3 linked regions of the Xenopus tropicalis genome follow. The protein of the gene in region 3 interacts with the protein of the main gene of each other region in a biochemical or structural test. Links are inferred from orthologs where the notes say so. Each region holds a gene or a part of one and is shown on either strand. Other genes may lie near its edges. The genes, in order: htr2c, cntnap4 and apba1.

Evidence for each region.
Region 1: the proteins of apba1 (region 3) and htr2c form a complex in vitro, tested with the Homo sapiens proteins (2 studies listed by BioGRID and IntAct, with this or other methods). The link is inferred for Xenopus tropicalis from reciprocal best matches to the Homo sapiens genes APBA1 and HTR2C.
Region 2: the proteins of apba1 (region 3) and cntnap4 form a complex in vitro, tested with the Homo sapiens proteins (2 studies listed by BioGRID and IntAct, with this or other methods). The link is inferred for Xenopus tropicalis from reciprocal best matches to the Homo sapiens genes APBA1 and CNTNAP4.

Annotation. Positions count from the first base shown.
Region 1 is NC_030684.2:66,125,785-66,136,452, reverse strand, and holds the start of htr2c (5-hydroxytryptamine receptor 2A), read right to left. Parts: upstream 6,433-10,668; 5' UTR 6,256-6,432; intron 1-6,255. UniProt on the Homo sapiens protein: G-protein coupled receptor for 5-hydroxytryptamine (serotonin).
Region 2 is NC_030677.2:137,064,532-137,074,542, forward strand, and holds part of cntnap4 (contactin-associated protein-like 4), read right to left. Parts: intron 8,722-10,011; coding exon 8,482-8,721; intron 7,199-8,481; coding exon 6,977-7,198; intron 5,880-6,976; coding exon 5,746-5,879; intron 4,286-5,745; coding exon 4,198-4,285; intron 2,421-4,197; coding exon 2,199-2,420; intron 1,545-2,198; coding exon 1,473-1,544; intron 1-1,472. UniProt on the Homo sapiens protein: Presynaptic protein involved in both dopaminergic synaptic transmission and GABAergic system, thereby participating in the structural maturation of inhibitory interneuron synapses.
Region 3 is NC_030677.2:129,548,922-129,558,932, forward strand, and holds part of apba1 (amyloid-beta A4 precursor protein-binding family A member 1), read right to left. Parts: intron 7,435-10,011; coding exon 6,228-7,434; intron 1-6,227. UniProt on the Homo sapiens protein: Putative function in synaptic vesicle exocytosis by binding to Munc18-1, an essential component of the synaptic vesicle exocytotic machinery. May modulate processing of the amyloid-beta precursor protein (APP) and hence formation of APP-beta.

The sequences.
Region 1 (10,668 bases), on a different chromosome or scaffold from region 3:
AGTCATGTCAGTGGGTGGATGAAAATAGGCACGGCCATGTCAAAATGGGTGCAGGCCCTTCAAAAAAAAGTCAACAAACGCGTTTTGCAAATTTTTAGGCAAAACAAAATGGAACAGATTCACTCATCACTATTAGTAATAAACAAATTTCCCATTTTGTCCCAGGGGAAATGCATAAAATGAAAAAAAAAAATGAATGAAATTCCTGTATTTATAAAAGAGTGAATAAAAAAGTAGGTTCACTGGCCTTGATTTATCACAAGTTTGCAAATACAATTTGTCTTAATTGATAAGTTTGCATGTTGCAGATAATTTTTTACTTGCCCCAGCATTTAGAATGTGAAAATATGTTTGAGAACTCTACTTTAAGAATGGAGACATTTTTGATGCAAGCATAGTCATGTGTACATACAGTATGCTGTTACTATAAAAAGCAAATACAGCTCGATGAATCTAAAAATGTTCAAGTATAGTATCCATGATTTTGTGTTTTCCTAAAACTGAAGGCTAATATTAATTAGAATGATAGAATACCATGGTAAATTATGGTTCATGTATCAGCTGTCTACTCAGAAAAATGTGATTTCTTTTTAATTATGGCTATTGACAAAATATGAGGGCAGTTTATAGTTTTGGGCATAGGATGCACAAAATGATCAATATTTATTGATTGTAAGGTTAGAAAAAACAATATAAATGTAATTAAAAATAAAAGTTTCCAAAGAGTTTATAAGTAAGAAATGACATGTCAGATAGTAGCATTAAGCTTTAGGATTTTTTTAAATCAATTCATAATGATCTCATTTATTTTAATATATAATTAATGAATTAATCAAAAAAACATGTTCTAGTTTCAATTACATATAAAATGCTTTGTCAGAAAGAAAACACTTTCTTATAAAGATTTCATGAAACCTGGTTTATATGAGGTTTATTACTACTATTAAAAAGAACCCTTAAAAAAAAGTAAACATGATTATGTTCTTACACTCATATAGAATCATCTGGCTTGCTTAATGCCAAGGTCCAGGGTTCAGTTCAGACTAAGACTTTTGTACATTTGAATGTAATTTATATTGATAGATACAGTTTGAGTTGTATGTACTTTAATTTGGGAGATTAGATTAAGGTCAAAATTTGTTTTAATTTGTGGCATTATCTTAAGGTCCAGACCAGATCACCAGCCTATATCCTATAATTACTAGCTCTGCTTCCACTAGTATCTTGCTTTTTAATTTCTTATAACGGTATAGATATATACAGGTATATATATAATATAATATAATGCTGTTCCTATAGTATCCTTGCTTCTGTCCTTTTTTGATTGCAGAGCAGTGTGCAGTGAAGCAAGCATGACACAGAATGTTTCAAGCTTCATCTTTAGAGCTGTATAATTTATGGAACTTTAGTGGCATATTAGTGGCATGCAAAGTATTATATGACATTGAAGGAATTTGTTGCTTTAGCCGTGTTTTCTGGCGTTTTGTTTGAAAATGTCCTTTAAGGGTCATCACTGTTTGTTTCAAGAACAGTTTCCTGTTTGCTCAGTGGCCTATGTAAGAAGCTATCATGCTAGCACCAATATAGTCTTAATACGATGTAGTAGGTACCTCAAAAGAATGCATATTTGTTTATTGTTATAGCTAATAAAATAGCTATTAGTTCTGTATTGTTTAGGTTTCTCTTCACTTGAATGTTTGTAGTAATCATTTTGTGATTTTTAAAGATCACAAACCATAATTCTACGATAGTATTTGTGACATGAAATACCCACATGCAGCACACATTGGTTTGATTAATCAGGGTCCTTCCTCTGCTCTGATTTGGTACCATCCATGACTAGCTGATTTCTGAAACTGAGCGCAGCTATATTACAACTATATTCCTCTGTCTTTATCCCTTAATGACTTAACCCGAGTTGTTTAGTTGCTACAGTAGCGCAGAACTACACTAATCTTCAGAAACAGTGAGATACTAAGTGCCAGAAATATACCAGGCCCTAATCAAACTGCAAAGGTACACATTTTAATTCATTCATACAACATTAGCCCTGTGTATGATATCAGAAAAGGGGTATGCATAGGAAACAATTATATTATCAAAATTAGTACAGTTTTACCCCATATTTATACTTGCTAATTCAAATATCAGGCTACAGAAGGCAAATAGCACTGTTTAGAGAAGGAATTCTCCAGGTTAAACTAGAACAAAGTGCTTTTATAGAGCAGAATCACTTTATCCTCCAGGATTTATATTCTGCACATACAAATATAACACCTGGGTGCAAGGGATCTAAGCATGTCAGAACCCATTAACAGGTTAAATAACCCACAAGCCACAGCTACCTTTCTGAGTATGAAATGGCCAAGATTCAGAACTCTACTTTAAAAATGGTGACATTTGTATTTCAGGTATAGTTATGTGTATTTATAATATTTCCATTACTATAAAAAGAAAATACAACTTGGTGAGTCTAAAAATGTTTAAGTACAGTACCTATTATTTTGTTTTTTTCCTAAAACTGATGGCTAAAATTAATTAGAATGATAAAATACAATGTTAAATAATGGATCACGGTATCAGCTGTCTACTGAGAAAAATGTGATTTCTTTTTAATTATGACAAAATATGAGGGAAAATGTGAGTAATGCAGAGGCTAGTTTGTAGTTTTGGGCATAGGATGCAACTATATCTATTGATTGTAAAGTTAAAACAATTTAAATGTAATTACAAAAGTTTCCAAAGAGTTGATAAGGAAGAAAGAAATTGCATATCTGATAGTAGCATCATGCTTCAGGGGTATTCATTTTTCAAATTAATTCATAATGATCTCATTCATTCTAATATATAATTCATACATTAATCAAATCATTTTATAGTTTCAATTACATATAAAATGCTTTCTCTGAAAGAACATTCAGCAATCCATTATTTTTTATCAATATCACATGAAACCTGGTTTATACTAGCAAATGTGACCTGTTAATCTTATGTTCACAAGGTACAACTCAAGTGTGAATTGCTGTTCTTCTTCCTTTGCCTGATATACAGTAGCTCTGTGGTGGGAGTATTTTAATTGTAATAATAATTTTTATCTTTCTTCCCCTAGTTCTTTCACCTTTTCTTGCCCCCTCTGATGCTGTTTTGTTGTATTACAATGTCTACAATTGAGTAATATTTAAGTCTTGTATAACACAAATTTGCCAAGGAATAAATTTGATTTACAAAACTAAACAACATTTTGTCTTGTACCCTTCACACTGCAATGTATATAATTTTGCATAGCTTGGTTAAAAAACAATTAAGTACAATAACTGCATAAACTGATGTGAAAATAATCCCAGAGGAATAAGTAGCCAATTGAAAAATAAACAAGTTGCTAAAATATAAGTCATTCAGTACACGCTCTCTACACTAAACCCATTTTTCATACTCATTCGTAGCAGCTCGCATTTCTGGTTTTAGGCTAATTTTGTTCTATAAAACTGCTGTGTGTTGTGTGGGAGTTAAGTACATTCTTACAAGTTTGTTTTTTGCTAAAGTACTTTTTTTCCTTAATGCTTCTGGGTAACCACAGATTGTCTCACTTTTATATGGTATTTGTTAAAGGGTGCTGACTTGCTTTCGCAGTGATTATTTAGCGCTTTAACAATATTAATGCGTAACAAATATGTTTATATATTATATGATCCATGCCAGGTAACTGGCTAAATAGAATCATTGTAGCAAAATAAGATCTATTTCATTTCCCCTAGTTACACTGAACACAATTGACCAGGTATCCAGGCTGTGAGGCAACCAGAACCAAAAAGATGGGACAATACTGAAGCTGGTACTAAGGAACAGACAAAGCCAGATCCCAATGGTGTGGCAGAATCATAATGTAAAGCTGGAGCACAGGCCAGGAGAGACAGCAGTCAGGATAGTGAGTAACAGGCTAGAGGTCGATAACTAGAATCACAGATGGGAAAAGAGGTACTGGCACCTGGCAAGTATCTTTTGACCCTGACTGCTGACTCCCATACCACCCATTACAACAGTTTCCCTCTTTACTTGCTTATCCAGTGACTCCACATCCACTCCCTCACTCACCTGCTGGCAGTAGGAGTTAAAGGTACCAGTCAAATTTTTTTTCAAATTACGTCCCCCCTTAGTATTTCCCTACTCTGTGGGGCACATTTACTAATCCTCGAATCCGAATCCCGAATGAGAAAAAATCGGATTGGAAACAAAAATTTTGTGATTTTTTCGTCGCCGTTGCGATTGTTTCGTATTTTGCGTGACTTTTTTGTCGCCGTCGCGACTTTATCGTATTTCGCGCGACTTTTTCGTCGCCGCCACAATTTTTTCATATTTCACTATAGTAAATGGCGGAAAAACCAATCCGAATTTTTCACGACGGCGACGAAAAGGTCGCAGAAAATATACAATAAAGTCGTAACGGGGATGAAAAAGTCGCGCAAAATACAAAAACATTGCTACGGCGACGAAAAAAAATTGCAAAAATACAGATCATCATGAAAAAAACGCATTTGGAAGCTTTCGGACGTCCGTGGATTAGTAAATGTGCCCCTGTGTGTCTACCCTGCCTACCCTCATTTCCAGCCCTGCATAGAGTTCTCTATAAATATTATTTTTGCAGAATTATTAATTCATCAAAGCACAAATGTCACAAGGTTGTTCCTGCTTATTGACTGTGGTGCTTGTGCTCCCACTGTCACTTACTGTCACGTAAGTTGCAACAGTCATCATATCCCCTTACAATATTTACTTCAACATGGGAGAAGGGGGGCAGAACACATTTTGCAAGGCTTTTCAAAAAAAATCCTGGGAATTCTTGCACAAAGTGGGGAACATAAGGAGTTTTCTCTTTCAGTGGACAAGATACTGTAAGGAATCTATGGAGATTCTTTAAGCAAGAAACTTTCCATTATACATTTTCCATGATAACTGGCGGTGATTACACCAGGAATACTGGTTAGATATTACAGGCTTGACAAGGCATCCATGGAATTTTTTAACTTAGACTTCATCGCTATACGTCCGTTTATTCCATATACTTCAGCCTGCTCACTTTTGAATCATGTGATTAAACCTTTAAATATGCACCAGCCTGGTCTTTTCTTATAGCCTTATCTTGCTCCTAACCTTATTAATCCTACCACCCAAAACATTCTGACTGGTCTCGCTTCTCCTCTTCTTTATTTTCTTGTTTCAATTCAATTTAGTACTTTGTTTCTAGACAGAAAGCATCAACTGGGAGAGAGGTTTAGAGTTCTCTGCTGTGTACAAAAAATAAATAAGCAGCAAACAAAATACTACATAGGATTGGAGACACCGTGCAGAAAAGAAAGTAGAATATATACTATATTATGTGACATTAAACAACTACAGTGAATAAATAATAACATGACAATAATGACATGAAACAATGTATACTCCTGGCCAATCAACACTAAAATTAGAAATGACATTTTTAACATCTGAACATATTGAAATCTCAGTGAACTTGATCTTCTGCTATTTAAAACCTATCTCTGGGTATACTGCTAGTTATATTTTGAAGTTTATAGTGAGATATTTTGGCTGCTCTATTTTCCTGTGACATCAGAACATCATTAAAGAACATATGGCTGCATTACATATCACAGCAACACATTTAGATTGTAAGCCCTATGGGACAGGGACCTCTATCCTCTTGTATCTTTGATTCTTAACTTATTGCAACTGTACCTTGTATTTATTGTTATACTTTGTGCTAATCTATTCAACTGTACAGTGCTGTGTACATAAATAGCACTTTATAAATAAAGATATACATACATACATATATACAGTACAACACTAAAGTATCTGTTGTAGATAACAGACCAACCTGCATTCATAGATCCTGCATCAGCTAATATGTAGTTCATGGTTTACCTATTACAGATAGAAGCCAGCGGTCATACAGAATCACTTACTTCCTGGGTGCATATCCCACATCAGCTACCCAATGTAAAATGCCTTAGTATTGTCTTCTTACGTGGTTAAAAAGTCTTCACTTCCTTCATATTTTAGCATAATTGTCCGTGCTGCTAAAGGTTATACACTGTACACTGTTTCATTAAAGAAATTTGGTAGATTCTAATGCATAATTTAAACAAGCTTTCTAAAAGTAGGTAAAGGTAATTCAAATCTAAAATAGCAATTTTGCTTAGCAGTATGGTTAAACACAGATGACTAAACTTTTGATTTTCCTTCAAAAAGAAGTACCTTGCTGAATAACCACTGATGTTTTTGGGCAGTTGTCTCTTAGGGCCACCAGCATTGCATGCTTTCTGTATATTCCATTAAGGAACATGTTGATGAACAGCAATCCTTCTGACATCCTTTAAAACATGAATGTTCATGTTATTCCTCTATATGGATTTGGTTTGAATCTTGGATCCTAGATATTAAAACATGGAAAACAAAGAGTGAAAAATAAAGAAATAACATTTTTATAAAGAACTTATTGCTGCTAACACTGTGTTGAACTTGGGTGAAGGCTAACAAAAGACAAGGCTAGTGTTTAACGAAATACTCTTTTCAAAATGCATCAGTTAATAGAGTTTTTCCAGCAGAGCAAGCATCAGTTAAATACATGCATTTTCTATATAAATGGTTTGGGTTTTTTTTCTGTATAAAGCAGCAATCTACATGTACATATTGGTTGCTGCCACTTTGCATTGTAATTTGGCAAAATTGGAAAACTGGGCAGCAAAATGGAACATGAGGTTCAATGCTGAAAAGTGCAAAGTTATGTACTTTGGTTGAAATAATATAAATTGAGTCAAAAAGGGCATTGACTCAAGGGATGAAAACATAATTTTGCCTCTTTATAGGTCCCTGGTAAGGCCTCACCTTGAGTATGCAGTGCAGTTTTGGGCTCCAGTCCTTAAGAAGGATATTAATGAGCTGGAGAGAGTGCAGAGACGTGCAACTAAACTGGTTAAGGGGATGGAAGATTTAAACTATGAGGTTAGACTGTCACGGTTGGGGTTGTTTTCTCTGGATAAAAAGGCACTTGCGAGGGGACATGATTTACTCTGTACAAGTACAGGGATTATAGACAGTTAGGAAAAGTTTTTTTTTCCCATAAAAAGGATCATTGCAGCAGAGACCACTAGTGATGAGCGAAATAATTTGCCAGGCATGGATCTGTGGTGAATTTCCTTGTTTCGATTTTGGTGAATTATTTTGTGAAATGGGTGGCAAAAATGTTGCCCGTGTCAAAAAATTGTTGCCTGTGTCAAAAAATATAATTTTCCAGTGAAGCAAAACAGGACAGATTCGCTCATCACTAGAGGCCACCCCTTTAGATTAGAGGAATAGAACTTTCATTTGAAAGGTAACCACCACGGTGAGGTCAGTGAGGTTGTGGAATGCCCTTCCTAGTGATGTTGTGATGGCAGATTCTGTTAATGCCTTTTAGAGGGGCCTGGATGAGTTCTTAAACAAGCATAATATCCAAGGCTATTGTGATACTAATATCTACAGTTAGTATTAATGTTGGTATATATAGGTTATGCTTGTGAGTGTATAGATAGGTCAGAATGGGTCTATGTGTGTGTGCTGGGGTTCACTTGGAAGAAATCTTTTTCTGTAGATTCTGCATTTTAAGTGTAAAATTTGAATATATGCCTTTAAATTTTATTTATATAAAACAGAATCCCATGGACACTTTGTTGCAGGTAAAAACCACCAGTTCTATAAAGTAGAAAGTAATATGAAATATACAGTATGCATCAACAGCGTATCATTTTACTACTTCAATGCAAAGAAAAAATTGTTCACACAAAGAAATACAATTTAGCATTTTTAATATTTTGTCCATTAACAACTTTTATTACATTCCCCTGATATAGTGTCCAAATTTTAAGTCATTCTATTATTAGGCAAACGTGTTTACATACTAGTTAATATACATGCAAACTTGCTGGACAAATATGCCAATTAGTGCATTTGTAGCCCAGTGACTCAAGCTTTACTTACTGCACTGCCATACTATTATCTTAAAATTCTATGAAATGCCTGGTTGCTTGTGCCAACTGGGAGGGTCTTAGATTCTTATATGTAATTATTTTTCTGGGTTTCCCTAGGGTTCATATTTCAACCCTGGTATTTTTTCCCCATCTGTTCTGAGAGAAAAATATAACGCCGTGATATTTGAAGAGAAGGGAAAATGAGGGTTGCTTATTAATTTTGCATTGCTGAAAAAAACTATAAACTTCATAAACAAATACCTCAGCACTATAATATATTAATTAATTGAAAAATGGGCTCTATGGGAGATGGCCATACAATCACATGGAGCTTTCTGATAACGAGTTTCCAGATAAGGGATACCATACCTGTATTATAAACTGTCCTGTATGATCAGGTTACGCAATGTGAATAGTAGTATGTCCTAATTACATTGTAGAATTTATAGTATCCTTCACCACTGTATTTTGCACTTTTATTTAAAGGTTCGGATACTGTAAATGTCAAACTAAGTAAGTGAGGGCTAAATTCTTGGTTCTTGCGTTACTATAAAGGCTAAACTCCACAGGAGATGTTGTAGAATGGAACCAGATCAATAGAATGCATCCAACAAGTCAGATATAGTTCCATGTTACTATTACCATCCAACACAACATGCATAACAGAAGGAAACGCTGCTTGCTGCATCTTTATCTGACGATATAAAATCTCATGGTGTCTGACAGACTTTTTTTACTTATTGAAATGCATTGATTGTTGGATGTAGATGTAAAAACAAAAAATCCATCCAAATTTATCTGATCTTTTTTTTATGCTCCTGCATTTGGAAGGCAATGCAATGTGTATAGCAGGATATATGCTGTCTATTGTAAGAGGACATTTATTATAGTCTTCTATTAATTTCATCTGCAATAGTGACTTTTTTGCTTTGCCACAGATACCCTTGTTTTAGCAGACGATCCATGTTTTGTCATGGGAGATGTGTTTCTTTCAATGTAAGGCACTAATAAAAAAAAAACTCCTAATAAAAATTCAAGGTAGTGCAGAATTCCATGTATGACTATAGCAGCAGGAAGACACCACTGCAGGGAAAAGTATTGGGAGGGAGGACAGATAGAAGTTAATTCTCACTGATTTTTAACCATCATGTTGTCTTTTACCGAGGCTTAATGATGGATAATATATACATCACATAGCATGTGGTCTCAAGCTTTTAAATATTTACATAATAATATTCATATAAATATACAATTTGGGTACATTAACCCTATTATAAACAAAGTTGCTGTAATTACATTTGCATGCATTCATTTTCATGAAGCATAAAACAACACAAATTATGTCAATAATGTAATAAAATAAAAGTGGAAAACAGAAAATGTATGCTAAAGCAAACTGCTGACGTCTCCACTTGAATTCTAATATCATTCATTAGTTATTCTCATGTAAAGACTCAGTCCAGGACTTTAGCAACTCAGGTCACAGGTAAGCATTGGGTATGCTAAATTATGTTGCTGTTCAAAAGATATATTGCAAACAAAAAAAAAACAAAAAAAAATTATGTCGCCATAATTTTTAGAATTTGTTGCCACGTATTTGTAGGCATAATGGGGATTTCATTCACTGCTGAATATACTGAAATAAAAACAGAAGTATACTCAAACTTTTAGAAATACATGTTTCTCCTGGGGCCCATATCTCCATGGTTGGTCAAACAATCATCACACAATCATTTAAAACTAAGGTTTAATTTTTAACACTTTACTGTTCCCATTCCCAGTGTTCAGGTTCAGTGGGAAGTGTAGGGGAGGCTTATCACCTTTTGGCTCATCGTGGTACATGACAGTTGCACTTGTAGAGTTATTCACCCCAGGCAACCATTTATAAATATTAAGGCAAATATGGAATGGGATGGAATGGAAAGGATGAATAGTATTATTATAAATAACATTCAGTACTATTCAAACATTAAGTACTTTATGCCATGCTTTAATATTTATAGAAACGTATTGGCTTCATGCCCTACATACAGACATTTTCTTTGAAATAAATGTAAACTATTTCTCAAAGTTTTCAGAAAGAGTAACATTTAAATGAAGGATTACATATGTGTTTGAGCTGTGATTTGGGACTTAACCTTGTTAGTACTTGCAGATGAACTGCACCACTTTCTGTCAGAGAAATAATGCACTTAAGTTTGAATTCTATACTAAGCCTGTACTAAGCAGTTTTCTGCAATTATGCGTAGATTTATCTCATTCCCAAGGATGTCAAAAATTATAATTATAGCTCCCAATAAGATGCATATTGAGGCAACCATGAAAGCATTTAGAATTAGAAACTAGCGTCACTCATGAAATGAAATTCGTTCATTTCATGCACTTGGGCAAATGATCAAAAATGAAAACGATTCTATGAGAGGGGACAATTAAAATGAAAAGATCTATTGATTTCTACGCAACTCTTTTACATATTTTGAATTTAATTAATCTAGATGTTCTTTATAATGACATCTAATTCCATATTTCAGCATGCTGCTTATGTCTGTATCTTTCTAATCTGTAGTTAATACTGTACTCACTCTCAGTCTAATGTAATTAGAAACAAATGTGGTCTTTTTTGAGAAATAGCCAAGTATATTTAAAGGACAACTGGTGACTG
Region 2 (10,011 bases), about 7.5 Mb from region 3:
GGAGTAAATGTGCATGTGGATGCATGGTAATCTATATGCATACGTCCATTTTTGCTACCTCTTATATGTATTACGTCATTTTTCTTGGTCACTAGAAATGAAATAAAATGCACAATAAAAGTGCAGAGGGGCGATAGAGGGAGTAGTTTTACTTACACTCCCCCTACTATAAGGGGTTAACATTTATTTGGGGTTTTTGTTTTCCTCTCTTTGAGCCATGTAGTTGGTAACACCTATTCTTACTTTTAAGCCTACTCATGCCTCCTCCCCTTCCTCTTGGTAATGAGTAATGAGAGTGCAATCCCACACCCACCTTCCCTATTCAGTGTATGAATTCTTTATGTCAGTCGACATGATGCCAATTGTGTCTTTATTTCAGTATTGTGACAGCTAACAAAAGGATTTTTGGTCCTTGCAATATTATTTTTGGGTATTATTTTATCCTTTAGGTCTATGATAGATATGATATGATAAATATCCTCTACTGTGGGTAATTAATCTACGAATCGCTGGTGGAAAAATATATTAGTTGCTTTGGCTTTCCAAAGTTGTGATGCAACTTTGGGAAGCCGAAACAATGCATGTGTTTTCCCATCATTCACCAATGGGAAAGCATTTGAAAAAGATTAGTTGAAAGAAGAAGAGGAGATTTATTGTGAGTGACTAATCTTACATGCTCACTATAAATAAAGATATACATACATACAATACATACATACTATGATGCAGTGTCCATTTGTTATCACTTGCTAATGTATATTGACGTTATGTTGATAATATGGCTGCATGTGCATGGAGTAAGGACTAAATTGTGGTATATGTTCTGATATGATCTCTGAGCCATGTCCTTAATTTTCTGTTCCTTGTCAGTTTTCACTTGGCTTTGACTACATTTTAGAAACGCGTTTTATCTTTTGTGTAGTGTAGCTATTTGTGGCCATGACAGTCACTGCATGCCAACCCATTCCAACTTTCTTGAATTTTGATAATAACTGCTGTGCATATTTAAATATCACCATGCTCTTTACATTTTAGCAATACCTAGGGCATACATTATACTTGCATATATATAATTGCATATAGTGTATTCTATCCTCTTCATCTTCTAAAGAAATAAGTGAATGTTTGTTTCAACCCAAGCTCATTTCCTGCTTTTTGTAACTATGTTAAGTATGCATACAATCAGCTCCAATCTGAATGTCAGTTTTGCTAAAAATTGTTGTCATTTAATGCTAAATCTGCATTACATACATAAACATGCACACAGTTAAATGCACATGCCACACAAACACATTGAAAACATATAAGAAATGGCAAACCTTTCCAAAGAAATATAAGTGAACCATAATTCAAATACTTTTATAATAAAAATATTATGGATTTACAGAAATTGAAGGCATATTAAAAGCAGGTCTTCCCTTTTTAAGGAATGGTTTAATATTTAACTATTCAAACTTGTATTTTGATTTTACCCCCAATCACTGCAGAGTCACTTCTGATTGCATTAGCTATGGGTTCTCTTTCATCTTTTGGTCTTGAATGATCTGTAAAACATAAATATCTTCTTAAGAAATGTGGACTTTTATTAGTGGATAAATATTTACATAAATTTAGCAGTAGAGTCCATCAGTGCTTACATAGATAGTACTTTGTATATAACTTGCCAAGCTTTTGAAATATTATTGATCAATTTTCTATTTTTTAATTTTATGAAATAATAAAAACAAATGTGAAAAGTCTAGTAAAATAAAAAAAAAAAGAAATATAAAGATGCAGCTACAGACCTTTAAATGCACTCTTTCTGTCTTGGAAGCCCAAGAGTTGCAAGTCTATATTGATTTCTTTTTGTGCTGCTTCTGACTTTCATCTGTATATACTTAACCAAAATGCATTTGTCTCTCTTTTCCTGGTCATATATATTTATTCTGATTTAGCTGGTTCTCTGCCTAGCTTGCCTTTGACAGATTATACAAAATATCCTATTTTTTTCCACTGCCCAATACTTCCTGTCAACCCTATAGCTAATTTGGAAGAAAAGTGGAAGAAACAACTTTAGCGCATCACTTAGTTCCATCTAGGTATCTTGCTTTAGTCATTCCTACAATGTGATAAAAGGCAAATCAACTGATATGGATGGACATAATAAGAGTACAGTGTGAAAACAATACTGACATTATTCTAAAATTGCCTGGATTTACCTGCAAATGTATGAGTTGATTCACTTGATGCTGAATCTATACCATTTACAGAACCACAGCTGGATTCTGTAATGTGACCAGTTGTTATTACTTGTGGTGATTTCTCATGGTACAAAACAGTTTTCAAAGGAAAAATATGGTTAAAATGCATTGAAGATAGACATCCAATGAATCCATTAGCATTTGCTTTCATTGTCTCCAGATCAAGCTCATCATTTTCTGCTGTAAATTAAAATGTAGAATTTTATTTTTTAAATGAAACAATTGGCACTCTGTATATTACATTATGCATTAGATAATATCTAAAATATTACAAAGCAATTTGAGGTGGAAAAAATGCAGTAAAGTGATCACAAAAAAGACTAAAGATTATATATATATATTGCAATGAATCTTTCCATTACACCTTGTTTATCCAAGTAGACATTCATTAGCTAAATAGATAAAAGATACAAACTCACATGTTTTCTACTTAAAAGGATTCAACATATAATGGAAGAAGGGGGTGACTGATAATGTGATACAAGAAAAGGGAATCTGAAGGAGGCTAAGGGGCACATTTACTAAGATGCATTTTTTTTCTGGCCTTAAATTTTTATGCCGAAAAGTTCGTTAACACCACAAAAACCTTTCTGGCTTTGATGCCTTCCATGTCTGGCTTTGGAAGCCTTTCTTAGGACTCAACGGTACTCAACAGATCAAACCTGGTAAATAGATAGTCCCAATGAAAGTGTAACCAAAGCTTTCAGGAATTCCGAAATGTTCGTATTCTATGTGCAAAATACAATTTTTTGTGGAAATTTACTGAAAACCACAAATAACTTTTTGCGTGCATCCAAAATGTTCTATAATTTAGAAAAAATATGAATTTATCTCAAAATTGTTTAGTAAATGGGCCCCTAAGTCTTCATATAGAAGATAGAAACTTGCTGCTGGCATTGTAAAAAATAAAAAAGTCAGAAAAACAACCAATGTGAAGTTTTTACAGTGCCAAAGCTGGAGGCTGCAGTTGCAGGAATTCACTAAAAGTACACAAGATAACTGTTATTACATTAAACAGTGAAAAAAGTTTAACTTATTACATTCATTTCATTCAAAGAGACTATAAAATATTAAATTAAGTATATCGAATGTGAACAGCTGCTGCATGCTAAATATAATTTTCACTGGTTCATTTTTTACATATTTCCTTAAATTTGGCTTCTTGTTTTCAATTACATGCTCTACCAATCAAGTCTCACTTAAAGGCTCGTTCTCTCTATTTTAGTACCCTATACAGGTATTTGGTTTCTAGGGAAGATGAGAATTATTCAGCTATCTGCAGTAAGAAACCAAAGAATTCCAATCATATCACATAAATTAATAAAAGGATTTTAAAAAGATTGAATTTTACCAGGAGGTTACCTTTTAGCATTAAAGATATAAAGGCAGTACGATTAATTTGTGATGAGCAGATGTGCAAGTACTAGAAATCTAAGAAGAGCAAATGTGCACCCCTTAGAGACTATGCACTTACTCCTTGCACCCGTGCTCATGCTGCATGCTAGTTGTGCTCTGCGTCTTGCATGGATTCAAAATATAACCACAAGCAGAGCACATTTGTGTCAGAAGCAGGTTTAAATACAACACTCCCAAAGCCCTGCATCCCCCATGGTCCCTAGATTTCTAATTTTAAATGATGCATAAGCCAGGGGTAAGCCAGGGGTATGCAGAATTGTTGCTTTAATTAAGCATAAATGTACATTCAGTATTTTGTATAATTACTTTACAGTATTCAACAGATTTACTGCATCAGCACTGCACACAGTAAATATAATTTACAATAAGAGGTACTCATTGTGGTTACTGTTGGACTCATAATCCTGGTCATAATTGGACATAATCCTAATATTCTAGCAAAATACATTTCATCATGAATTACAGATATTTTATGAAAGTTGTAGCAAAAAAATAAATCGAAAGTGTTCTCTTTAAGAAAAAAGGAAAAAAAACTACTTACCTAATATTTTACCAAGGATAAGAAATTGAACTGCTTTGAATTCAGTAACTGATGTGAGACTAAATTTTACAGCTGTATACTGGTTAACCTGAAATTATATTTTAATATATTAATTAGACATGTAATAAAATATTTCTTGGTCAAATCCTTTTTTTTAAATAAAATCTATATATGAGGTTTCAGGAGATTAGGATTTAGACTTGACTGGTTTATTACAGGATACAGTAAATATTATCTCATGGCAAGTTCATTTCTTTCCCTCACTCATTATAAGCACCTTCAAATTTACATTCACAATTATAATAATACTTTGTTATTTACTCTTGACCTGTGATTAGATTGTACATACATTAATCCTCAGTGGTAAAAGTTCCCCACAGTAAAATTCCACCACTCTCTATTACATGGGATTTCTAGAGGTGTATCAATGGGTAAAAGTCAGAGTTTACCATTTGATAAATATGCCTCTAAAAATCCCATGGAAATGAATAGAGAGGGGTGGAATTTTTTCATCATTTTTATCATAATTTTTGGATGGGGTGGGCCTTTTATCACTATTAAGTTAACAGACACAGGTCTGTTAACTATGAATTCTGTCAAAATTTGACCATTACTGTGTAGATTGCTTTATCACATACTCCCCAACCCATTTATGCCATGTTCGATTATATGCTAAGAAATACAAAAAGGAAAAGGTTAAACATAAGGTTAAAATGACCAAGAGAAGAACAAAGGGGAAAGTATTGGAACTTTTTTTTGTATTAAAGACATAAGGAATTATTCATAACAATAGAGGTGCTTAATAAGTCCTTAATAAACTCGGCAAAATATTCTCTTTTTAGCAAAGGCATCATTAATACTAATAATTATAACTGTGGCTAAACATAGAATTGTTGGGGCTTTCCCACCAGTGAAAATGTTTTTGAATGATTAACTTGAGCAACTAAACTTAAGAAGAAACTTGGGAGAATCTAACTTGGAAAATAAAAAGAGTAATTTGAAGGTTCAGTTGTGAAAAAACTATTTTTCATATCCAAAACTGAATACTAAATACTTCTTGGTAAAACAAATTGCTTGCACTGTATATTCCTATTACTAACTACTTTGTACTCATCATCTGAGAGAGCAGGTACAGCTTTGGGAACTGCACCTTGTACAATTTTATTATTAAAATCCATCATTTTAAAACTGCCAATTAATCCTCATTGGAAGAAAAATAATGCTTCTGGGTAAAATTAATGTTTAAATGTTTTTTTAGATCCAGAATGAAGATCCAAATTACAGAAATACCAATTATCCAGAAACCCCCCCAAGCATTCTGGAGAACAGATACCTTATATGACTTTATATATATTACTATACTGACTATTAAAACATCTCATTAAAACAAACACTAGTGGTGTCTGATTATATAATTTTTTACATGTTGTTTTATGCTCGATGCAGATATGTCAAAGAATAATATAATATTTTAAACAGATTCCATATTCCTGTACTAAAGAGTGACTATTTAGTCTCTCAGTAACCTTCTCATATTAAGTCTCTTACCTCTATAAAGAGTGTCTCTCCTTTTCTTAAAATTCTCACTTTCTGGAGATGTCCATCAACTAAGTTCTTTGTATTGATATTAAATACATCAGGATCAAGATGATGTTCTAACTTGTATCTGATCTGCAAACTACCTGAAAGAATAACATTTGTATTCATCACTTACATTTTGAAGTATTAAACAAGACTATGCCCTGTATACATTCCTTTACAAATACTAAACAGAGTTAAAGGGGTTGTATACCCTCTCTTCAATATAACTGCAATGAGTAAGGCTTGTGCTGGATGTACTTTTTGCCTGCTGTATTAATAACAAAAAAATCTATGGTTTTGTTATTTCCTAAACTAAACAGGACAAACAGTAAAACTGAAGCCCCTTGATGTTTGGCCCTTGCGAGGTAGGTAATTAAATAATCTTTTTTGACCTAGTTATAAAAAGAACAAACTGCAATTTACTTTTTCAAGAGTGAACAGCGCAGCATGCAACGCTGTATGTGCACCATTTAGTACAGTTCTAAGCAGCCCCGAAGGCAAAATATTTATATTCTTGCACTGCAAATCCAGTCTGGGAAGCTTTGATAAACTTGATAACGAAATGAGCTTAAAACTATGTTGATGGGAAAACAATCCTATTTGTATGTTATTTAATGCTTTAAATTAGCTTGAAGACACCATTTCTTTGTTATGTAAAGATCCCTAGACCAGGTCCCAAGAATTGCATATAACAGTTCCCATACCCAAAATTGTTGTCTGTTCAATGTGTTGGAGAATATTGCAGTGTCTTTCATTCAATACCTAGAGTAAAGTATCAAACTATCTTAGGAATACTGTTTTTTTTACTACATAGTGACAGGTAAAGCACTTAGCAAAATTCCTACATTGTATGACCCTTGGAGGCATAGAGCTGAACCTGAACATGCTAACCTGAAGTTGTAAGAAGGATAAGGCAATTAAATTCTGCCCTGCCTTCTGTGTTTGAACAGTGTTTTCTAAAAACCACATTTCCCAACCACGTTACTAGCAATGAAGCACTTCTGAACTTTTATCACATGATATGAACAATGTAAACTGTTACTTAACAGATTATTAGAGCTGATAACAGCTAATTTTAATTATAATGTTTGCTATTGCATCTTGGTGATTTGCAGAGTTTAACTTCTGAAGTGAAAAAAACCTCATTAACCATAAAACATTATATAATAGCATTTATAAAATGAACAAGAGAACCTACCATTTTTTGCAATGATGATGGAAATATATTGCTTATTGAAAGAGCTCACAAAAAGTAATAAACTCGGTGACTGAGTAGTTCGAAAACTAAATGCAATGTTTTCTCTACTGTTTGTGTCTGGGTGTTGAGCAGAAGAGTACCAGCTGGCGTTTCTAGATATGGTGTAATTTTCAGGAAATGTTAATGTTGCTGAAGACCCACCACCAAAGTATGCTGAAATCTCTGGAAAAAAAAAGAAAACAAAGTGCACATTTCCTTTACAAATAGATCAAGAACCTATAAAGAAAAATCATTAAGTCTAAAATTATTTTCCACCTAATATTGATCTACTCAATATAAACATCAGTTTGTCCATGCTTTGCACTCTAATACATATATTTAACACCAACATCCTTCTCAAACAGACTAGAAATAGGTGTCTAAAATGTATTGTGACAAATCTAGTTGGCAACAGAAAATATTTGCAATGCAACAAATTATGCCTTTGCAAGCTCTGCAAGCTTAAAGCCACTATAGAGTATACACTAAAATATACCTAAAAGGTGGCATAGTGGTTTTCATGTCTACAGTATATACCTAATTGTATTGCGTTCCTCTATGTTAGGCTTAAATAGTAACTTCCTATTATGAAAGTTAGTGAGAGTTCAGCCCTTAGACATTTTCTTTTTTACTTTTAACCAAAAGTGTTTTGTTTACAGGTAACTTTCCTTTCTTTTTATCTTTATTTGTAGCTATTAAAAGGTAGATTTTAATTACACTCTGTTCACATACCATATGATCTGCAGGGGGGTTCTGACTTTCTGTTCTCCATTGCACCATTAATCACCCAAGGTAACAAAAAAGTTAATTAAGATCCTAAAGGTTATCAAAAATATTTTTTTAAGTTTGTCTTTTTAAGTTTAAAATGTATGTAACTATGTAACTATGTAAGTTGTAAACATTTAAAAATATATTATACATCTACACTTATGAACAATTCTATTAGTGTAAGACACAATCTCATTGGAAGTAATCAAAAACAGAGAGAGAGGAAATGATGTTAAAGACTGGTTTGATCAACGCCTGGGAATAATTAAACACGACTTACATAGAGTCCAAGATAGAGATGATGACATTTATGACTTTATTCAATTTAGTACCTGCTTGTAATGATAAACCTGGGGGTAGACTAAGCTACTTTATAACTTGAATAATATCTTAATACAGACAAATTATGGTGGAGCGCAAATGTACAAGATTTTTAAAATGAAACATTATAGAAGTTGCTTCATGTTATGCTATTGTCATTTTTATGTCACATAGATGGAAAAAAATGATATACAGTCTTGCCTAAGCTTGTGCTGCATTATGATTTAATCATCTTAAAAAAGGTCTGCATGTTTATTGCGCTTATCAAAGTATAGGCATGTAATACTAATATGTTATAATTGCATTTCTTTAGATTTTTTGATTTATAAAAAAAATGAGTTTAAAATGCAATTAGAGAAATGTAAGAGAGTTTGTACCTTTCTTGCAAAATGGTCCTCCGTAAGCAGAGGAATTACAATCACATAAAAATCCATTGTGCTTTTCTTCACATTTTCCTCCATTGTGACATAGGTTCCCATAGCTACTGCAGTGTCCAGGACATCCTGGTTTAATTCCTGGGGTCACTTTAGCCCTTTCTTCCAAGTCAAGGGCAATTCCATTTAATGTTAAATAACGTATGCATCCTAAAAATCCTTTCTGTCTTGATGCTGTTCCACCTGTATAAGATAAAAGAATTAAAGTATTAAGTTATAAAACCTACGTCTTCCATAATAAAGTGTGTCTTTTATGCACATGCAGAATTTTACATTTTTTTTTTTGTTTAGACAAACATTTGGTCCAATCTACTGTGGAGTTCGCACAGTAGTTACAGGTTAATGTGTTATACAACCTAGTGCAGCACCCATAGCATTCCTAAATCTACTAAGGGGAGTATGGATCATGTGAGAGTTAATAAATATATATATTATAATTACAAAACTATTATCATATAGACATTGTATTTTTCCCATATTTTCCCATTTTCCTTTATGCTAATTAAGGTGGCCATACACAGGCCGATTGTAGCTGCCGATAACGGTCCCTTGGACCGATTCGGCAGCTTATTGACCCGTGTAGGGGCAAGAACGAGGGGCATGCCCGACCGATATCTGGCCAGAAATTGGCCAAATATTGATTGGGCAGGTTAAAAGATTTAGTTGGATCGGGGAACGAATCAGCTCGTTGATGCGGTCCCTGAACCGACTGCCCCATTGCTGCCATTATAATTCGATTGTTTGGGGCCCAGGGCCTACTGTACATGTTCCCCGATATCACCCACCCATAGGTGGGGATATCGGGTGAAGATCCGCTCGCTTGGCAACCTCGCCAAGCGAGCGGATCTTCACGTGTATGGGCACCTTTAGGATAGTATGGTGATAGTATCTTCCTTCCTATAAAATGCATCAGTTATGAATTCAGAATATTCCATAATGATTGTCATAATACATTATACCTAATATTGCACCCGAACACGTTAGAATGAACTGTTCAGAACTGACTGAATTTGATAGATCACTTAATAAAACACTTCCAGGATAATGGATTCACTTAACATTGTACATAGACTTATATCTAATCCAGTAACTCTGGTGATTATTTTGGAAGGTCTGAGATAACCAAACCTGTTGAAATGACCTTTTGATTTGATCAAATCAATTTGCCAATCAGATCTATCTTATATAGTTCTAGGAAAGATTAAATGGTTAGAACTCCTCTAGGAAATGTGTAGGATTTCAGATTTAATCTTTGATAAACTAGCCCTGTGGTTAACTACTAGATCATTCTGAGTAGTGATGAGTGAATCTGTCTTATTTTGCAGGCTCCATCTGTCTGCCGTCTATCTGACATTTAATCATTATATAACATTCAACAATTTTGATAAATATCTCTCTTTCTTTTATTATTAAACCCAAAGTACCTTCCACAGGCATTGGGATTATGTAAAACAGTTGCTATTTAACAAAAAA
Region 3 (10,011 bases):
GAGGACATTATGTCATGTTGCGAGCCACATCAATTCACAGATGATGTTTTTATTGTTACTACACCTGTACACTCAAACAAATGGAAAGGACAGAAGAGGTGGTGAATAAAAGAAGATTACACAAAAAGTCTATGCAACAATGAGTTCCCTGGATTTAATTAGGAGGATTTAGCAGTTTTACACCAGCAGCAGCCATGTTTTAGGTCCTGCTAAGTCTATTAGCTGTATATAGTCTCAGTGTCATCAAACCTAATCCACAATGGCATTTGACCACACGCTTAATAGTCTTGGCTCTGATCCAGTTCCCAGGGAAAACGGAGAAGACCTATCCCCTGGAAATATTTTTGTAGGGAATATTTCAAAATAAAAAAAAGCATGATGAGTACATGTAAGGGACCTGTTAGGCAGAATGCTCAGTACCTGGGGTTTTCAAAACAAGGCATCTTTCCATAATTTGGATCATTATACTTTGTTTACTAAAAATCATTTAAACATTAAATAAGCCCAATAGGGTTGTTTTGCCTCCAAAAGTATTAATTATATTAATTATAAATATTTTAGTTGGGATTAAGTACAAAATACCGTTTTATTATTATAAAGAAAAAGGAACAATATGATTTATCTGATTAAAATGGAGTCTGTGGGAGACTGCTTTCCTGTAATTTTGAGTTTCCTGAATTAACACAGTCCTGAAGGGAAAATAAAATACAGTACCATAATGATACAGTAAGTTACTGTGATAGGACCAAAGTGCTCCTAGGTTTATAAATTTCCCTCTATGACTTATCACATAGTTTTTTAGAACTGGGCAGAAGGAACATAGCAGCAGCATGATAAGTGAGTGATTAACAATTTGCTTGGCTGTATACCACATACATGGTAAAATAGACAAATAGAAGGTACATCTATATTTAATATGTGTAAGTAATGACATAATAAAACTTGCCAGCTTTTTGGTTTGTGGTTGTGTTTCACTGACATACTCATGAGTGCATGATGAGACTTGTACAGTTCTTATCTACGGTTAAAAAACCAATGCTGAATGCACATATTTTTGTGACCTTTTTGTATTCTTTGTTCTTCTTCATCCAGATAATAAGCCCTGATAAATAACAAGTAGTAATAGTAATAACAATAAGGAATAGGTATGCACTGGGCTAATTACTACAAGTTATATGGTGGAATGTACAGTACACAAAGGACAGCACAAAACACTTATGAATATAATACCTGTGAGTAATATTACAGTATTTTATATCTAGCATTTAAGCATACTTTATTCTATTACAGGTATAGGACCCATTATCCAGAATGCTCGGGACCAAGGGTATTCCGGATAAGGGGTCTTTCCGTAATTTGGATCTCCATACCTTAAGTCTACTAAAAAATCAATAAAACATTAATTAAACCCAATAGGATTGTTTTGCATCCAATAAGGATTATATATATCTTAGTTGGGATCAGTTACAAGGTACTGTTTTATTTCCACATAGAAAAAGGAAATCAGTTTTAAAATTCTGAATTATTTGATTAAAATGGAGTCTATGGGAGACAGGCTTTCCGTAATTCGGAGCTTTCTGGATAACGGGTTTCCGGATAAGGGGTCCGATACCTGTACTAATAATTGGACACCCGACATACATTTTTACAACCCATCAAAAATGTAAGGGAACAAACAAGTTTGGACAAAAGAATGGAATAGAAAATATTTCTTTGCATAGTCACATGTACAGGATGATTTTGTATGAATTCAGACTGAGCAGATGCATAAAATTCAGGCACCAGCAACTCGTGGCACTGTCTTTATATGGCAGATCAGAAAATAAACAGAAATGTTTCACTGAATATCTGTCAATCCAGTGCCAGCCTTTAAGACAAATGAGCCTAACAGAAGCATGACTATTTCATTTAGATTCAACAGCTGATCCACTGGCCCTAAAGTGAGGATCAGACGGCTGATTTATGCTGTATCTGATGAATTTGTAAGTATAATGCGAAGAGAAAAACTGAATACATTACATGCTTACAGTTAAAGGGTAAAACTACTCATTCACAATTGCAGTTTATTTAGCAACTCTTTCAGTGGGACAATCGTAGGGAAAAAAAAATATATAAGAATTGGTGTAAGCCTGTGATTTTAGTTAGCAACAAAAAACTTCATATTTTTATTTATTTCATAATATGCCACATGTTAATGTAATGGCCCTGTAAAGATTTACTATTAATGGCAAAAAATAAAGAGCAGTTAACGACAACACCACCCCAATCCACTTGTGCAGGTAGCCACTGACTTAAAAAGCCACAAAAATGCAGATATGAACACTTTCTGGCTAAAATCTAACCCTTTGCACAGTTTAACATACATTTATGGTCTGTTACCTTTCTTGTGGTTCACTTTTAATTTAACTTTTAGAATGTTATAGAATGATCAATTTGAAGTAACTTTTCAAATAGCTTCCATTATTTATTTGTTATAGTTTTTGAATTATTTGCCTTCTTTTTCCAACTCTTTGCAGTTTCTAAATGGGGGTCAAAAAACTAGCCAAAAAACTATTGCTCTGTGAGGCTCCAGTTTTATTATTATTATTACTTTTTTTTAAACTTTTTTCAATTCGGGCCCTCATTCATATACTAGTCTCTCATTCAAACCACTCCCTGGTTGCTAAGGTTACTTGGACCCTAAGCAACCAAATTACTGCTGAAAATCCAAAGTGGAGAGCTTCTGAACTGAAAATGAAGTAACTAAAAAAAACTATAAATAATAAAAAAATGTAGACCAACTGCAAATTGAATATTACTCTTTACATCATACTAAAAGTTAACTCAAAAGGCGAACAACCCCTTTAAGCGTTCCAGCTAAAGACCACAATGCTGCTATTTACCAGTTCTGTTTTTCTACTTTATTACTTATAAGCAGACCTTCATCCAATGAAGCAACTGTAACACAGAGGCCAATATCCCACCCCCTTGTAAGGATGTTAAAACTCTGTTTTCCACTACAAAGCAGACACCATTGTATTCAGAATAATATAATAAAATAGGATAAAAATAGCCATTGATCTGCTTTGGATGTCTGTGGACCTGTCTACCCTTTATGGAAGCAGTGAACATTACCCTTTCCAGATGTAAGCTAAAAAAAATTGCCCTTTTACATCCTTTCCCTTGAGCCACCATTTAGTGATTGGCTGTGCACTCCCTCAGAGATCACATGACCAGAAATAATGCAGCTCTAACTGTAACAGGAAGAAGTGTGTAAGCAAAAGACAGATCTCTGTCCACTGATTGGCTGATGTGGCCTAGCATGTATGTGTGCCTTGGCTTGTTTGTGTGCACTGTGAATCCTATGATCCCAGAAGGCGGCCCATAATTCTTAAAATGGCAATTTTCTATTTAGGATTACTCAATGGCAAATACTACTAAAAAAGTATATTTTTATCAAAATGGTTCATTTAGATGAAGCGGGGCTTTACATATGAGCTTGTTTACGCAATATATGTTTATGGAGACCTACATTGATTGGGGTTATAGTTTTCCTTCAATGTTTCTTTGATACTTTCTCTAGTCTCCATTTTTCAGTTCTTTTTTCTATATTCCGTGGGATTCTGTTGTATGTGTTATGCTTACTATACTTAAAATATATATATATATAAAAATAAATATATGATTAATTTCTTAGGGGGGGGGTTTAGGAGTCAGTATTGCCTTTGTCCTTGGTGCACATTGGCACAACAGGAGGATTTTGTTATGTAAGACTGTGTAAATCAAGGCTCACCAGGATCTGTTTAAAAAACACAAAATGAGGTTGTTTATCTTGTAAGATTTCTACAAAAAGCATTGTTGCTGGCCTGCATACATTAGACTTTTTTTCTCTGTAAATCACGTTTTTGGTACTGTGAAACCCAAAATACATTAGATTTATATAATCCAGAGACACATTTTTGATTTTTAGTATGCTCTCACAGAGAGATTTAATAACATCTTCAAAAATGACATGTGCTCCTCTTTATAGACAGGCACATGCAACAAAACTGGATCTTCTTTAAACAAAAATATTTACCGTTGTCTGAATCTTTACAGTCATTTGTCATTATGGGTTCAGATTCTGTAAAATGAAAATTTAGGGTTTGGCTGAATCTGAATTTTGCTGGGAATCAATTGAATCTGAAAATTGTTAGCATTTATCTAAATCCAAAACTGAATCTTGGATGTGGTAAATCCATTTTTATATAAATATATTTTCAGGTGTCACGTAAAATTGATGGAAACAGTTGTGACCTTTTACAAATGACCAATGATAGGACTGGTATCCATATAGTATAGGGTTACCGCCTGGGCAATATTATGACCAGCCCAGCCGGTAAATCCCCAGCTAGGGTTGGGGCCATAATTTCAAATTTACTGGCAATGTAATTGACAGTAAATTTGAAATACCCTACAAATCACTCCGTTTCTTGACCCTCACCTCTGACAAATGACCTTTTATGAGGCCAGACCTGCCTATACTCTGCCCAATCCACCCATTTCCCCGCCCCACGTGTTGCCCCTGCCCATTCCTAGTGATCCAAAGGTCGGTGCAATAGTAAAAAAAAAAAAAAAAAGAAGAAAAGATGGCAACCCTAGACCAGTACCAGTGATCCGCTCTGAAAGTCGCCTGGCTTGCAGGTTTCAGGAAATCCTCACATAAGAAAAGTACCATTTAGTACATGTAGATGAGTCATATTGACTCAAGACTCCTATCCCGATGTGAAGCTACCCCAAGCAACTACTACTTAGGAATTGCAGACACACACCTAGGGGCACATTTACTAACCCACGAATCCGAATTGGAAAAATTCCGAAAACGAACATTTTGCGACTTTTTCGTATTTTTTGTGATTTTTTTCGCCGCCTTTACGGAAATTGTCGCAACTTTTTCATTACCAATATGATTTGCGAGAAAAAACGCAAGTTTTTCGTAGCCATTACGATGCGCTCGTATCTTGCCGCGACTTTTTCGTATTGAGCGCTCGTAAGCGGCGGGTGAAACTTTCAGACTTAGCATGATTTTGGAAGCCTTTGGAAGGACTCAATGGCACCCTGCAGCTCCAACCTGGCCCAAGAAAAGTCACCATACTGAAGCTTGAATGAATCCGAATCTTTCGTACTCGGCACGAAAGCTGCAAAAAAGTCGCGACTTTTTGCGCAAGTAGTAACGCTACGAAAAAATCGCCAGATTTTGCGCAACATTCGGAATGGCTACGAAAAAGTTGCGACAATTTTCCGAAAAATCGCCAAATACCGATCATTATGAAAAAAAACGCAATCGGACGCATTCAGCCCGTTCGTGAGTAAGTAAATGTGCCCCATAGGGTGTTTAAAATTTAAAAAATTAAAAGATGGGTTCCAAAATGAATAGGAATAGGTTGTTAAATGACTTACTACTCTTTGTACAGAAGAGAAGAAAAGCCATTATGAAAACAGCCATTTCTTATTGTCTACAAATATTCAAAATATAAACAAACTGAGATGGGCAGATCTCAACACAAAATATTCTCTCCTCTGCAAAGACTGTTTAGCTTGAAACCACTGAAGGTAATATTGACGGTAACTGCAAACTAGTGTCACACACTTTTTCTTATTCCTTAAATACATTCCAAACGGAAAAAGTACATGTGCTTATTTGTTTGTGGATAAGTCTAATAATGTGTTGATATCCTTTAAGCCCACAAAAGAAGGGGCGAAGGCACAGAGAATGCTGTAACTTTTGTAATTTAAATTTCTGTATCACAATAAATGATGTAGGGTGATAACCCACAGTAAATTCCCCTTCTGCCTTTCTCTTCTTCTTTTGAGCACTATATTGAAAACTTGAAACAGCCAGGGACTGGGGAGCACAGTATCTACAAGTAAAAGGTGTGCAGAAGTTTTACTGTGTTCAACTATCAATTAAGCAAGAATTTTTTCATGTGGAGTGTTTAAGAAATAGAGTTTCCAGTTACATTAGGATTCATATTTTTATATTCTGTCATAAAAAAACTGAATTGTAAAAACCATGGAAAAGTTCCTTATTTTCTATAGACATATATTATATATGTATGATGTTAAATATAAAAAATAAACAAAACTTTTTTTTGCCTTTGAAAATTTGCATACTAATTAGATAAATGCATTGACATTGAATGCCACGTGCCACATTATATAAGCAGAAAGCAGGTGGTTATAAAACTGTGCATACTACATATACTTACATCTCCACCTAGTGGCCTTTGGTCATCACAGTCCTTTGTTGGACTAATGTCTTGCCTCATCACCCAGATAGGTTCCTTTGGCTCATCAGGAGTATATGGGGAACGGACTGTCCTTGTCTTTACTTCTTCAATTGCCTCCTTAATGTCCTTAATGGCTAGTGAGATGGCATCCCTCTTTTCCTTGCTATACCTCTGTACCTCTCCTGTACTTGTAGATGTTTTGGAACAAGATGACAGATTTCCATTAGTCACATGGCTTCCACCTCCCAATTTGGAAGGTTCTACTATGTCCAGATTTTGTTCTGCTTCTGGCATGTCCTCTGCCACTTTGTCCAGACTTTGAGAACTCATGCTTTGTTTGACCTCTGCCACAATCTGATCAATATCTTCCTCTTGCTCATAACTGTCCATTCTTGGGTACGGTGCGAATTCTGCTTCTTTCTCAGGGCTGTCAGACTCCCCATCAGAACGTTCATCATAATGGTGAAGGCGTGCACCAAGTGCTTCCTTCCGATAGTTGTCAGCTTCCTCTCTTTCCTGCTCATAAAGTCTGAGGCCCTCCCTAATATCTAGTTCAGGAGTGTCGCCTATTTCCTCATACACATGCTCTTGCAGTCCATAATCTGCATAAGGTTCCGCATATTGCTCATCCTCTCCCCTATGAAATAGCCTATGGGTGTAGACATATCCAGAGTAGGCCGCATTTAGAGCTTCCTCCTGATCTAGACCATGGAAGTGTAAGTGATTAGGAAGAGTTCGGTTGTGCAGAGCTTCCCCATGTTCTGCCTCTGCATTCTCAGTGTACTCTTCAGACTCTGGCCTGTACTGAATAGCATAGGCACTCTCATCATCATTCTCCTGGATTCGGTCCACATCATATCCATCTGCCTGTACTGCAATCACATCCCCCTCAGCTGTATCTGTGTGGTTGTGAAAACCACTCTCTGTGCTTGCAGATCGGGCAAGAGTGCCATCTTCCTCTTGTCCAGATTGTCCCTCCTGCTCTTCAGATACCTGCCGCAAGTTAGGGGGAACAAACTGGTGTTGTTCTTCTTCGACTTCTGGGTGCTCAAGGTCAGCTTCCACAGACTCATTAATGTCTGCACTTCCAGGCTCATCACTCACCTCTACCTCTTGCGATCCCTCTAAATGGTTCATGGCTGGTTCACAGCAGTAAGTCTTATAGTATAAACATCTTTGTTCTGCACTAAAAAAGAAAAATTGAAATCTGGTTTTAGCAGCAAGCAACCATGGTGCTCATTAGCATTAAAATCTAAGAATTCAGAATCTAAGTGTTTTATAAACATCTTGTTATCTTCTCTCACTGGTCATGAATCCCTGCCAACAAAAACCTGCTTGGACTTCTCAGTCTGTCTGCATTTTCTGTTTAATACCCTAAAGCAAAACAAACCCATTAAAAAGCAGCATTTGCAGAAATCCTCCCAGCATCCTCACTTTTTACCATCTATTTACTCACAATACAATACCATCACGCAGTTCTCTGGACACTGCAGGAAACCAATGTAGATGTATGAACAGTTATAGACTGCAGAACAGAATAACAGCAGCAAATACATTATTATTCTAAATCAAAATCTGGCAGAGCTGGTATAGCTTGAAGACATAAAATAAAGAAAACAGGTTACAGCATTATATTGCTTTAACTTTGTTTTAAAGGTTACACTATAAACAAAGCAATAAAGCGTATTAATTGTGACTTTAAAATTTCACAGCTTGCACAACTTCGGCAATGTATTAGATTTAATGGTAAGAATAACAATCAACCCAAAGTAATCAAGTTTAAATAATGCTGTTTATTTAGCATGCACTCTATACAGTTTTATTGGATTTGCTGCATTTTTATTTGCTTGTTTTCTGTATCTGTCTCCATTTCTTTGGGTACGAGCCAACTAGGAAACATGAGATCAGTTTACCCATGCAATGCACAGAATAGCGATGGCACAGCAAATGTATATTGAACACTGCATATCATATAAGTACCTTTACATTGGTTCCCAAACTATGAGGCTAACCCCTCAAAACAAAGGATGGTGGGGGAGCAAACAAAGTCAGAGAGGTAGACACTGAAATCAATGCTTATTTGCCGTGCTGGGAATACTTGTAACTCTAGCAGGTCAAATACATCAACTGCCATTTATATATCTCTATATGTTATAAGCTATGAACAAATGATGAGAAGAAAAGTATGCTTGTTCCCTACTCATAAAAAAGGGGGCACAGCCAATCAATCAGAGTTGAGTATAGGTAAATGCGGCTGGGGGCAGAAATGATCAAACAAAGCAGCTACATGAACAACTCCCTACATTTCTTTATAGCCCAAACAAAGACAAACCATATATCTATGTCAGCATTTCAGAAAGAACATTTTATTGCTTAATATCTCTTTACAATAGAACATACATTTCTTAAAGGAGAAGGAAAGGTAAAAAGAAAGTAATGCTACACTGAGTCCTCTATCAAAATGAACACAGGATTTCTTGTTTCTTTTTTTTTGTAAACATGATGTTTCCTCTCTCAGGAACAACCTTAATTCCAGGGGCCAGAGTCTGCTCAGTTCTCTCTTTTCTCCCCTCTCCTGCTCCACCCTCCCACCAGAATGCTTAGAACTCCCTTCCCTCTCCATTAGGAATGTGTGATTTCAGCTATAAGGGCTGGAGCAGGAAGGAAGCTAATTAAAATGGCAGCTGCTATCTCAAGCAAACCGAGAAAGCTTCTAAAACTGTTTACTCAGGTATGGTAATGGTTTCTGCAGAATATTTATTCTAGGTGGCACTAATGTGGCAAATTCATCGTCAGCAAAATTACTTTTCTTCTCCTTTAAAGGGTCACTATGTATGTAAATTTTCTGCAGAACTACCCTGTGGTTTTTGCAGAACAGGTTATTACAAAACTTAGAAAGGCATGTCTGCTATGGAGTTTTCCATTTACAGAAACTGGTTATTTAAAGGAGAAGGAAAGGTAAAAATCAATGAGGGGGGTGTAAAATGCCCAACATTTGATTGTAACTTTCCTTCCCCTTTAAAAGCATTAAAACACAAATATAAAGAGTTAAATACATGATGAAGAAGGTTGTTTGAACACGGTCTGCATCAATAACAAAAGCCTGGTCATTAATACAGAAAAGGAAAAAAAATTACAAAGACACATGGAGCTGCACTTTACCCATGTATGGTACAACACCCAAAGTAAAAAAAAAAAAACTTTCATTAACTTAAAGGAACAGTAACACCAAAAAATGAAAGAGCTTTAAAGTAATAAAAATATAATGCACTGTTGCCCTGCACTGGTAAAACTGGTGTGTTTGCTACAGTAACACTACTATAATTTATATAATAAGCTGCTGTGTAGCCACGGGGGCAGCCATTCAAGCTTGGAAAAAGGAGAAAAGGCACAGGTTGCATAGCAGGTAACAGATAAGTTCTGTAGAATACAATAGTGTTTTATCTGTTATCTGCTATGTGCCTGTGCCTTTTCTCCTTTGAATGGCTGCCTCCATGGCTACATAGCAGCTTATTTATATAAATTATAGTAGACTTTCTGAAGTAAACACACAACTTTTACCAGTGCAGAGCAGCTGCACATTTTATTTTAGTTACTTTTATACACTTTCATTTTTTGGTGTTACTGTTCCTTTAATATATAAATATATGTAAAAAAAAAAAAACTAAATTACAAAACTGACAGACAGTTTTTTTTCTAAAAACTAAAAATCAACTGATTGTAGATTTACATGGCAGCTTCAATTACAGCTATCAGATATGGG